Drosophila melanogaster: one gene and its partner. Each later gene encodes a partner of the first gene's protein in a complex. Each region holds a gene or a part of one and is shown on either strand. Other genes may lie near its edges.

What was found. The genes of interacting proteins can lie anywhere in the genome.
Region 2: QIL1 (region 1) and Mitofilin share a complex: the UniProt entries of both Drosophila melanogaster proteins name them as parts of the mitochondrial contact site and cristae organizing system (MICOS) complex.

What each region holds. Positions count from the first base shown.
Region 1 is NT_037436.4:17,464,296-17,467,804, reverse strand, and holds QIL1 (QIL1), read right to left. Parts: upstream 1,861-3,509; 5' UTR 1,680-1,860; coding exon 1,669-1,679; intron 1,607-1,668; coding exon 1,249-1,606; 3' UTR 1,037-1,248; downstream 1-1,036. UniProt on the Drosophila melanogaster protein: Component of the MICOS complex, a large protein complex of the mitochondrial inner membrane that plays crucial roles in the maintenance of crista junctions, inner membrane architecture, and formation of contact sites to the outer membrane.
Region 2 is NT_033777.3:22,018,678-22,024,964, forward strand, and holds Mitofilin (mitofilin), read right to left. Parts: upstream 4,398-6,287; 5' UTR 4,255-4,397; coding exon 4,210-4,254; intron 3,953-4,209; coding exon 3,723-3,952; intron 3,590-3,722; coding exon 3,116-3,589; intron 3,056-3,115; coding exon 2,907-3,055; intron 2,844-2,906; coding exon 2,148-2,843; intron 2,046-2,147; coding exon 2,025-2,045; intron 1,932-2,024; coding exon 1,773-1,931; intron 1,716-1,772; coding exon 1,427-1,715; intron 1,361-1,426; coding exon 1,183-1,360; 3' UTR 1,056-1,182; downstream 1-1,055. Other genes in the region: Idh3b (isocitrate dehydrogenase 3b), read right to left, coding at 1-39, 103-150, 315-356; mRpL35 (mitochondrial ribosomal protein L35), read left to right, coding at 4,931-4,955, 5,020-5,531; CG6028 (uncharacterized protein), read right to left, coding at 5,689-6,177, 6,249-6,287. UniProt on the Drosophila melanogaster protein: Component of the MICOS complex, a large protein complex of the mitochondrial inner membrane that plays crucial roles in the maintenance of crista junctions, inner membrane architecture, and formation of contact sites to the outer membrane.

The sequences.
Region 1 (3,509 bases):
TGACAGCCAAACGAACCGAGATGGTCAGGAGGCTCTATCTTGTGGTGCTTTTTCATTCGCTTTTTAATAATAATTGGACTGGTTCTATCTATGCGACTCCTGGTAGCCAAATTGTGGCACTAAACTGTTATCAGTTACCGGCGTACGTTCGCCTTCAATGACGTCTTTGGACTCTCATTCGTTGCGCCTTCTAAAGTAATGTTTAATATTTGCTCTTGCCACTGGGGCGTATGCGTAACGTGCTGTCATAGCGGAAGCTGCTGTAAAATCCCAGTCATGGCGGGCTGACTCAGTTGAGGCAAAACCAACGCTAGCTGAGATCTTTATCGCCGTTCTGTTGAACAAGAGTCGGCCATCTTTTCTATAACCATCGCCGATCTCAAACATCACATTGTTTACAGCAATAATTTCGTGTTATCAGCGAGAAGAAAGATGTACAAGTGATATCAAAACACTTGTGTGGGAGAACTTTCGGATATCTGACATGTTGGTAATACAGAAAACAACCCTGTTCACGTGCTTCGAGAAGACTAATCATCGTGACAGGTTTCCTCAGTTTTATAGCTGACAAAATATTAGATCCAAATACAAGATCTAATAGTCTGAGCTGGCGCAAAAACCGGAGCGGTAGTGGGCTAATAAATCAGTTTTCTTTGCACCGCCCTGTTTGGGGAGTGTGCTCTGACAGACGTCTTACGTGGACACGAAAAGATCTTAATTAGTGGAGCGCAAAAAGCAGCTTGCCTGGATATTTATAGAAGCACATATCACTAAAGTAACATGGTTATTTTTTAACTACACCGAAAGAAGTCAGAATAATACACAGATCATATATCATACTATTAAAAGATTATTTTAAGGATTACGGTGCCATGCTCTTCTTTTTCAAATCATATCTTTCCTTATTGAAATACGGTTGATCGATTTTTATAACCGGTAATATTTGTATATATTAAATATTAAATACCATTTTACCTGAGATTATCTTCAAACTGCAGTTTCTTGCCGTGCACCCAAATGAATACATCATCGGTTTAAGTGCGATCTTAACGCCTACCACGTAGAATTGTTTATTTCTAAACTGGACGTTCCAGTTCGATGCGTTTCAGTACGTCGAGAACAGATCTATAGTCGCTTATCCGCTGGCGAGCGGATCGAGGAATAACGACACATTACAACGACATTATTCAATAGGCTAACTATGAGCTAACACGAAAACAGCCTGCCATTGAAGAGCAGTGGGTCAGGTTACTTCGGCGGACTGGACTCCGCACCGCCGGCGATGGCTGGGGATTGGGCAAAGTCCTGGAACGTGTCCTTGACCTTCTTGAGGCCCCTGCCTGCGTAGCAGGGCAGCATGTGGATGAAACGGAAGGTGTTCTTCACGCCCTCGTTGTAGTAGTGCTTGGCCAGGAAGCGCATCTCGCCGGTTTTGGGCAACTGCGGCACTTCGAAGGGCAGCTGCTTCTCCAGCTTCTGGACATGCGGGCGCAGCTCCGACTTGATGTCGTTGTACAGCTTGTCCGTCTGGTCAGAGTCTCCCCAGATGCCCACCTTTTGTGTGTAGTAGACGGTTGCGGCCACCAGACCGCCGCGCACTAGAAATCTGGAAAGGATTCGAAGAGTGTCAGGCTTACGTAAGCCTCAAGAGAAAGCATACGGACTTACCCTAGAACCATGTTTATTCGTTTGTTTTGGGGAAGAGAGAGTGACAGTCTATTGCGGTCTTTGGGTGTATCCAAACAATAGCAGTCTGGTCGTTTTCGTTCAGAATTTTTGGAAAATTCCTTGTTTTTCTACTTCATATTATTGTCGGAGTGACCGTGTCTACGTAGCAGTTAAAATCTGCCGCTTTAGTGTGACCAGTTAGTTATACATTTGATGTTTTAGCGAGGTTTCAAGCCATTAAAGTATTCTAGACACCCACCTAGCTCAGTTTTAATCCAAATTAAAAAATGTATTTAAAATTTGTTATCAATTTTAAATTATTTATGATTATGCGGTGAAGCATTTATTGGTAAGCCATATCTCTTTTCGAAGTATTGTTTACTAGAACACACAATGCATATTTATTACCCCATTTGTTTCAACCGAAATTATTGACATCATTTTAATATTAATTATTTTGTTTAACGATTTCATTGCATTCAAATACTATTTATAAAATATTCTTATTTATAATATATATTTGTTTTGAGTGCCTGATGTTTTTGTTTGGCCTCGCATTTATATATTGTTCCCTTTTGTCTAACCTTCATAACTGCTGGCCCAATAAAATTTTATTTTGGAGTTGAATTCATTTGTACTTCTGGGTCGAATTTATACATTTAAGGCATAAATTAGTATAGTAAATCCCCGATCCTTAGAGGGTAAGAAGGAGACAAATTTGCCAGGTTTTTCTTATCAATATAATGATTATAATACGTTGGTATGCATAGCCTTTAAATTTATTCAATTAATTAAATTATTCAAATATCTATCAGCCAACGTAATGGCTATTTATATAATTATGAAGTTGGAAGACTGAAGTTTAAGCTCCACGCCATTCCAAACTTGCTCTCCAAAAGGCGAAATCTTCAGTTTAAAATGGGATGAATATAAAATAATAGTTAGAAGAATTACAAACTAAAAAATGAATCGATTTTTTTCGGAATTGATTTGGTGTTTGTATTTGTGTATGTTTGTATATTAAAATATAATACTAATTAACCATAATTAGTTAAACTGTGTTACCACCTAAATTTAAATATAATGTATATATTTGTGTCACAACTAATTTACACATTCGCTGTATTATTATAATCAAGTATATTTAATCAAAGTGCAGACACAAAAACTACACTTTAGAACAAACCTAGTTCCAAAATTGGTATTAGCTAACGTTAATTGATGAACTGATGCAATAGTGAGAAATCCGCTGATTAACTCCGCATCGTTCTGCAGTTATTGTTCTCTCAAGCAGGGAAGCTTCCTGGACCGTCCTAGTCCGTCCTAGTTGCCGGCTTATCCAAGGAGGCTTCCGCCTTTGTTTCCCACTGAAATCTCATTTACTTAACAAGGAGCGGAAGGAGGCAAGGACGTAGCTACTACTGGTGCCCCTATGCAACGTGTTCATTTTCCCCGCGGCATTGTTCCAATTTTGCGACACTCGCTGCAGTTAAGAGGATTATTGCCTGGCGAACAAAGAATGGCAACTGCCAAGGTTTGTGCCAAATTTATTGAAAAGTCCCGATTTCAAATCGAGTGAGAAATTTAACGGGCTTCCTCTATTTTTTGCCAGTTTTCCACTGTTTTTTGCTGGGTGCTCCTTTTGTTATTTTTTACCCATTTTCGCGCCGCCTGTCGCTCTTGTCCTTTTTCCAGGTCGGGCGACAGTGACCCACGTGTCATCCGGGGTTGGCTACGCTTATTAATGGGCTCAGTTAATGCGTTGCGCAACCCCTTCGTGCACCCGAAAATTAAATTCCCCCACTCCCCTAGCGTTTTGGGTTAAAAAATTGGCAAGTATT
Region 2 (6,287 bases), on another chromosome or scaffold:
AATCAGTGTGCAGGTGGTCCTGTTGGCGCCGTAGTTATCCTGCAAGACCAATTATTTTCCGGTTACAACTGGTGCCACTTAATAAGCGCATTTAACACTCACCGTAGCCCGTAGCGTCGACGTGGTGTGCAGACTACGTGCTGCCGCAGCCTAAAACGAGAAGAATGCAATGTAATCGTTAAGGCTGGCTAGGATTATAACCTCAAAAAAAAAAAAAAGAAACGTATAAGAACTAGGCCTCAGCGCAGAAATATTCGCACAGCGCGTCGCGAGCAAGTGTTTATGTAAGAGCTGCGGTTTGGATGGCCGTTTACCTGCATGAACGTCCGTCCAACTGTTCTCGCCAGCATCGACATTTTGCTATTCGGTTAGCTAGATCTTCCCGGCTGTTGATCCAAACTCAAAAGTGTGTCCTTTGGCCACGCGAAATTTTTGATTGCGATGTGATTTTTGCTCCGGTGCCAAACCGAAAAATTTCAATAGGACCAAATCGACCACGCAAACCAGCTGATTGCCTCTGACTACCAGGGCTGGCGATAGCCGCCCACGAAACTGGCGCGTCCAGTGCTGGCTAACGACCAACTATCGCGATTTTGGCGTTCGAAAATTAGTAACGAACATATACGATTATTTAAGGAATAAATTTGGCGGCAACCGCATAGTAACCTGTTTTTGAATACATTTGCCTTGCCTACCATGCTTTCTTTTCAGAACAGAGAAATTAAATTTAGCCAATGCATTTTATTTGAATTTTGACATTCAGCATACTTTTTAGTCAACTTATTTATTATATTAATTTTTTTCGCTAAATTAAACAACAAGTGGATGTTCTTTATGTTTATTTATGGCCTAATCACATTGTTCTTCAGAAACACAAAGCTTGCCAATTTCAGCTTTAGTAATATATCATATTCCATTCATGCCTTGGTATCGAATTTTTTACAAATCTTCCCAGAGTATTTATGTTTTGGATTTTATAATGATGGTTTCTATGTTTAATTTGTATAATTGAAGCTAAACAAAATGTTACAAATATATGTATATAAGTGCTATTTCGTTTCAACTGTGATCGCTAATTGGACAAATTACATATTGTTGGTAATCGTACCATCTTCTCCTGGACTAATAACAAATAGTAAGTGTATCATCTTGTTTCTGAAGGAAGGGGACACGGGACGTAGTCTACAAATACAATAGTCCGCTGGCAGCGGCGTGAGCCATCAAGGTGTTGGCCGCCTGCTGAGTCTCCAGCATGAGGCGAGCCTCCTTCATCCACTCGCCGGCAATCTTGCGCGATGCACCCTGCAGCAGATTCATGTACTTGAGCGCCTGCAGAAAGTCGCTGCGATCCACATGGTACCTGTGAAACATAATATATATAATATATATTATATAACTCTAGTGATAGATGAATCAATCGCCTCACCTGGCCCTGTTTAGGATATCGTAGGTGTCCAGTTTGCTATAGTCGAAGGGTTTGTTCTCGAGTTCGTCCTTGGATATGGGATTATCGGGTCGCAAGATGAACAGCGATTGCAGATAGGACAGGAAGTAGATGGGCAGGCCGGCTCCTTCCTCGGGCACCAAAGCCAATCGTCGCGCCACGCGCTCCACATTCAGGAAACGCTCGCGCAATGCATCTTCTGGATAGACACCGCGCTCCTGAGCCTCCTTCGGGACGCTTTCCAGCACAGCGGCCACCAGGTCGTCACCCTCTGTAAGCATATGCATTTAGCAACTGAAATCGAAATGTGGGAAACGTTTCAACTTACTAGCCACCTTGGCAATGGCATTGATCTCGTTCTTTAACGGGCGCAACCTATCCTTATAGTGCACGCCAGGAGTGGCAGCGCGCACGGAGGCCCACAGAGCTTGGCAGGCGGCCCAAAGGGCCTGCGCCTGATTGGCAGTACGCTCTGCATCCGCACGCTCTGCAAAAATGTTGCATATAATGTCAATAAACATTTTGATTAAACCAAGAATAAGTTGGTATAAGTACTACCCTTCATATAGGGTGAATATACCTTGAAACTCATCCTCTATCTCTAATATAGCAGCATGTTTTGAAAAGGTTTGAAAACCATTATATATCTAGCCACGCTACACTAGCTACATTCAACCGATATCGTTTAAAACGTATAACTTACCTGCCAGAGCCGCGTCCATTCCGCGCAGCTTGCCGAGCATCCCGGCCAATTGTAACTTATAGTTGGCCTTTTCGGTCGCCAGCTTATCCTCAAGTTCACGCTTAAAGCTTCGCGTCAGATCGGTCTCCCGCTGCGCCACGATGTCCTTTATATGATCGGCGTGGGCCTCTGCTTGCTTTTTGAGCTGCAAGCGCAGCAGCTTATCAGACTCGGCGTGGATGTGGAAGATTTTCTTTTGATTTTCCACGGCCAGTTTGCGCCGCTCGGCCTCCAAATGGTATTCCAGTTGGGCGCGCAAAGCCTCCGAATCGTTGTCACCGCGAACCGAGTCAATAGCTCTCTTCAGGCGCAGCTCACCATCGGTTTGCAAGCGCTGCAGCTCCTTCTGGTAGGCCAGGACATGGGTGTAGGCGTGCAGGATGAACAAGTCTAGGTCCTCCTTTGACAGATTAAGTTTCTTATCCGCCAAACTGAGGCCGGGGAAGATAGACTCGATCTCGTCAATGAAGTAGTTTCGCGCCTTCTCCACATTCCGCCAGTACTTGTCTGACACGCTGGCCGTGTCCTTGTGCCGGTAAAGCTCGTCCTTTACGTTGCCAATGTGGTCCACAAGCTTCTTGATCTTGTCGCGCACTGCCTCTACTTTCTTTGCGTTTTGGGCCGTTGCCGCAGCACTCAGGGCGATCTCGCAGGCGACTGCAGTTGATAGAAGGGAATGTTACTGAAATTTGGAATCTATTTAACAAACAATGGACTTACCAATCTTCTCCTGAGCCTCACGGGCAGCTCGCTCTGCCGTAGCCACTGCCGTATCACGGGCACTTGCTCGATTTTTCAGCGTGGTCCAAAGAGAGTTCTCTCCATTCTCTACGGCCTTGTCTACAACCTTACGGACATCGTCATTAAAGCTGAACGATATTTGATTAAATTTAAAATCACGCAACGAATAGTTAACGAGAATTGCTCACCCTTTCAAAACGCCAATAGCGACGTTGTACTCCTTGACGGCCAGTTGAGCAGACAGCTCGATGGCTTTCTCCAGCTCAACAACATCGCGGGGCAGCGGATTATCCTTAGGCTTGGCAGCGGGCGCAGGCGCTGCTGCTGCTGCTGGCTTCGACACTGGCTTCGCTTCAGTCTTGCTGACTTCGCTTGGTTTTGAGGGTCTCTTTTCCTCAGCAGGAGTGGCCTTCACGGGCTCCACTTTGGACTTCTTGGACTTGTCATCGCCGCTGCCGCCGCCAAACAGGCCCGTCACCTTAGATGTAACGGAGTCCACCGTGGACGTCACTGTCTCGATGCCAGACTTGACCTTATCGATCTGATCGTTGACGTTCTTGGTGATGCCCTTGAATGGCGGTTCCTCCTGCAGAGCCACCTTGATGACGGATCCTGCGCCGGGTACATTCTTCTCCACCAATTTGCGGAAGTCGTCGTCGTATCTGGAAAAGGATTTCTACATTATTCGATGGTTCATTTAAGCATTTCAGGTGCAATAAAATGTGTACGAATTTTTGTTGATCTACAGGTGGACTGCCTATCCTTATCTTAAACCTCTATTGTGGCTCTATTTACTTGGCGTAGGTGATGACACCGCCGACAGCTGCCAGTGGTGAGACGAAGAGGACCACTTTGCCGAAGCCAGCTTCGCGCATATGCGGTGGCAGGCTCTGGTATCCTTGATATCCTTGATCGCCTTGCTGTCCCTGCTCCTCCTGCTGCCGCCTGCCCTGTTCCCGGCCGCCACTTCCGCTGCTGCTTCCGCCGAATTGCCTGTTGTTTGCGGTCGTCTGCTGCAGCGTACGCTGTTGCAATGAAAGGTAATACATTTAGGACCATCACATTTAAGGAAATTGGCAAGCCCGTTGATACCCCCGCGCCCTTGGTCAACTGGAATTTTGGAGCTTTTCGCCCAATTCCTGGGCTTGGTAGATGACATAACCAGCGCCTCTTGTTGTATTTTCGCCAACCGCTTGTTTGTGGGCGCGCGGGGGTGTGGGGCAACGTGACGATCGATTTTCACGTTATCAAATAGCTAGAAATGAATGGGTCAAAAATTCACCTGCAGGGCGCACTTGCACTGATCTCGCACCGCTAGCCGATACATGGTGTTGATTTTGCTGTGATCCTGCTCTGCTCGTGCTCCTGCTCCTTCGGCTACCGTAAATTTCAAGTCCCGGCGGCGTGAATTAAATATTGCCCAATTCGTTCGAAGCTGGCTCGACTGCGTCAGCGCTGGTGGGTGAATGGCTGGCCAGTGCTGCTGCTTCCTCTTCCATTCCCCACACTCCCACGCACACGCACACGAGTCCTGCGTGCTGCTCGTCGTCCTTTTCGTTTCGCTTGCCCGCGCCACTCGAATTTGATCACTCAATTTTGGTTTGTGTTTTGATGGAAAAAGTGTCGGCAACATATACGCATGTACTCGATAGGCCAGTCAAAATACATTTGATTTGGAGATGGGCGCATAAGTTTAAGCAACAATTTTTATAACAAGTTTTAAATTGTCAGAATTGTCAGTGTTCTACAAATGGATTACATGGTTAAGGGATCCTTTTGCCTTAATTGTTATCAACGAAAAATTGAACTTGATCCATTCCTTGGGTGAATCCCAAAACATTTGCGATAGTTCTTATGATGACCGGTTCCCATCTCCAATAGCAAGCTAATCTATGTTTGTTCGCTGTGAATGGCACACAGCTGACTGTTACGCGATTCGATAAGAAGAAGAGCACCTGCGTTTTGTATGGAATTATAGGTTTATCTTTGTCGTTTTAAGTGAAATGCTAAGAACTTTTGTGACAAGCGGTAAGTTGAAGTCAGCTAATAGGGCTTACAAGTTTACGTTACTTTAATTGTTCTTAACTTTCAGCGCTGCGAAGCGTTTGCCGCCAGTCGCCGGCTGCATCTTCGTTGGTTCCTCTGGTCCAGCGGACACAACGTGCCACTTTGATGACTCTATCCCGTCCGTGCCTGTTGCCCACGCCATCACTGGCATCTCCTGCTCATCACCAGCTCCTGCAGCTGCCGGGTGTGCTAGCAGCCACAGGAACACCATCAAACACACGCAACGTGACCAAATTCTCGCTGGTGAAGGGTAAACGAAAGACCGTCAAGGCGGTACTGAAACGTTTTAAGCGCCTGGACTGGGGCGCCTGGATACGCACCCATTCCGGTCGCCAAAAGAAGCTCTTCAAGAAATCCGCAGCTTTACGACGCCGCCTCAAGCAGCACGTCTTCACCAATGCCACGCAGAGCTGGCTGCTGGACAAGATGGTCACCAGCTATTGGCGGCGCCCAAAGCATTTCATCAACGATCCCTATAAGCCCTATCACAGCCGCAACGAGTACTACGCCACACAGTCAAAGACCTTTAAGGTGTGACCTGGCTAATCAAAGATACTACATACTTGAATTAAACAAAACCAAAATATCTGATTATAGTTTATCTATTGAAAACTACAAAATCATCTATTAAATGCCATTGTTTCACTAATAACACAAACTTTACAAACACAACAAGCCAAATGAGTTGACAATCTTAGGGAGCCACAATCTTGTTGCACAGCTTGCCCAATCCAACAATCTCCGACTGCACGACATCACCGGGCTGAAGGAATTCCGGCGGAGTGCGATGCATGCCCACGCCCTTGGGCGTTCCGGTGACTATGATGTCGCCGGGCAGCAGGGTAATGGTCTGCGACAGACGATTGATCACATCGTCCAGCTTGAAGATCAAGTTGCCGGTATTGCCGTTCTGCTTCTCCACGCCGTTGACCCAGGTTTTCAGATTCAAGTTGTAAACATCCGGCACCAGACTCTTGTGCACCACAGCCGGTCCCAGCGGCAGAAAAGTGTCCATCGACTTGCCCATAAGGAACTGACCACCGTTGCGTTCCTTCTGCCAGTCGCGGGCGGAGATATCCTGGGCCACCGAATACCCGAAGACATAGTCCATGGCCTGCGATTTGGGCACCTGGCGGGCGACCTTGCCAATGACACAGACCAGCTCAACCTCCCAATCGATTTTCTGTGGAATTTTTTTTTGGTCGGTTGGTTATCTCGATGAGCCTATCTCTTGTTATCTCTTGCTTCACTTACGCTGCTGGCCGCATGAGCGATGACATTATCTTGAGGACC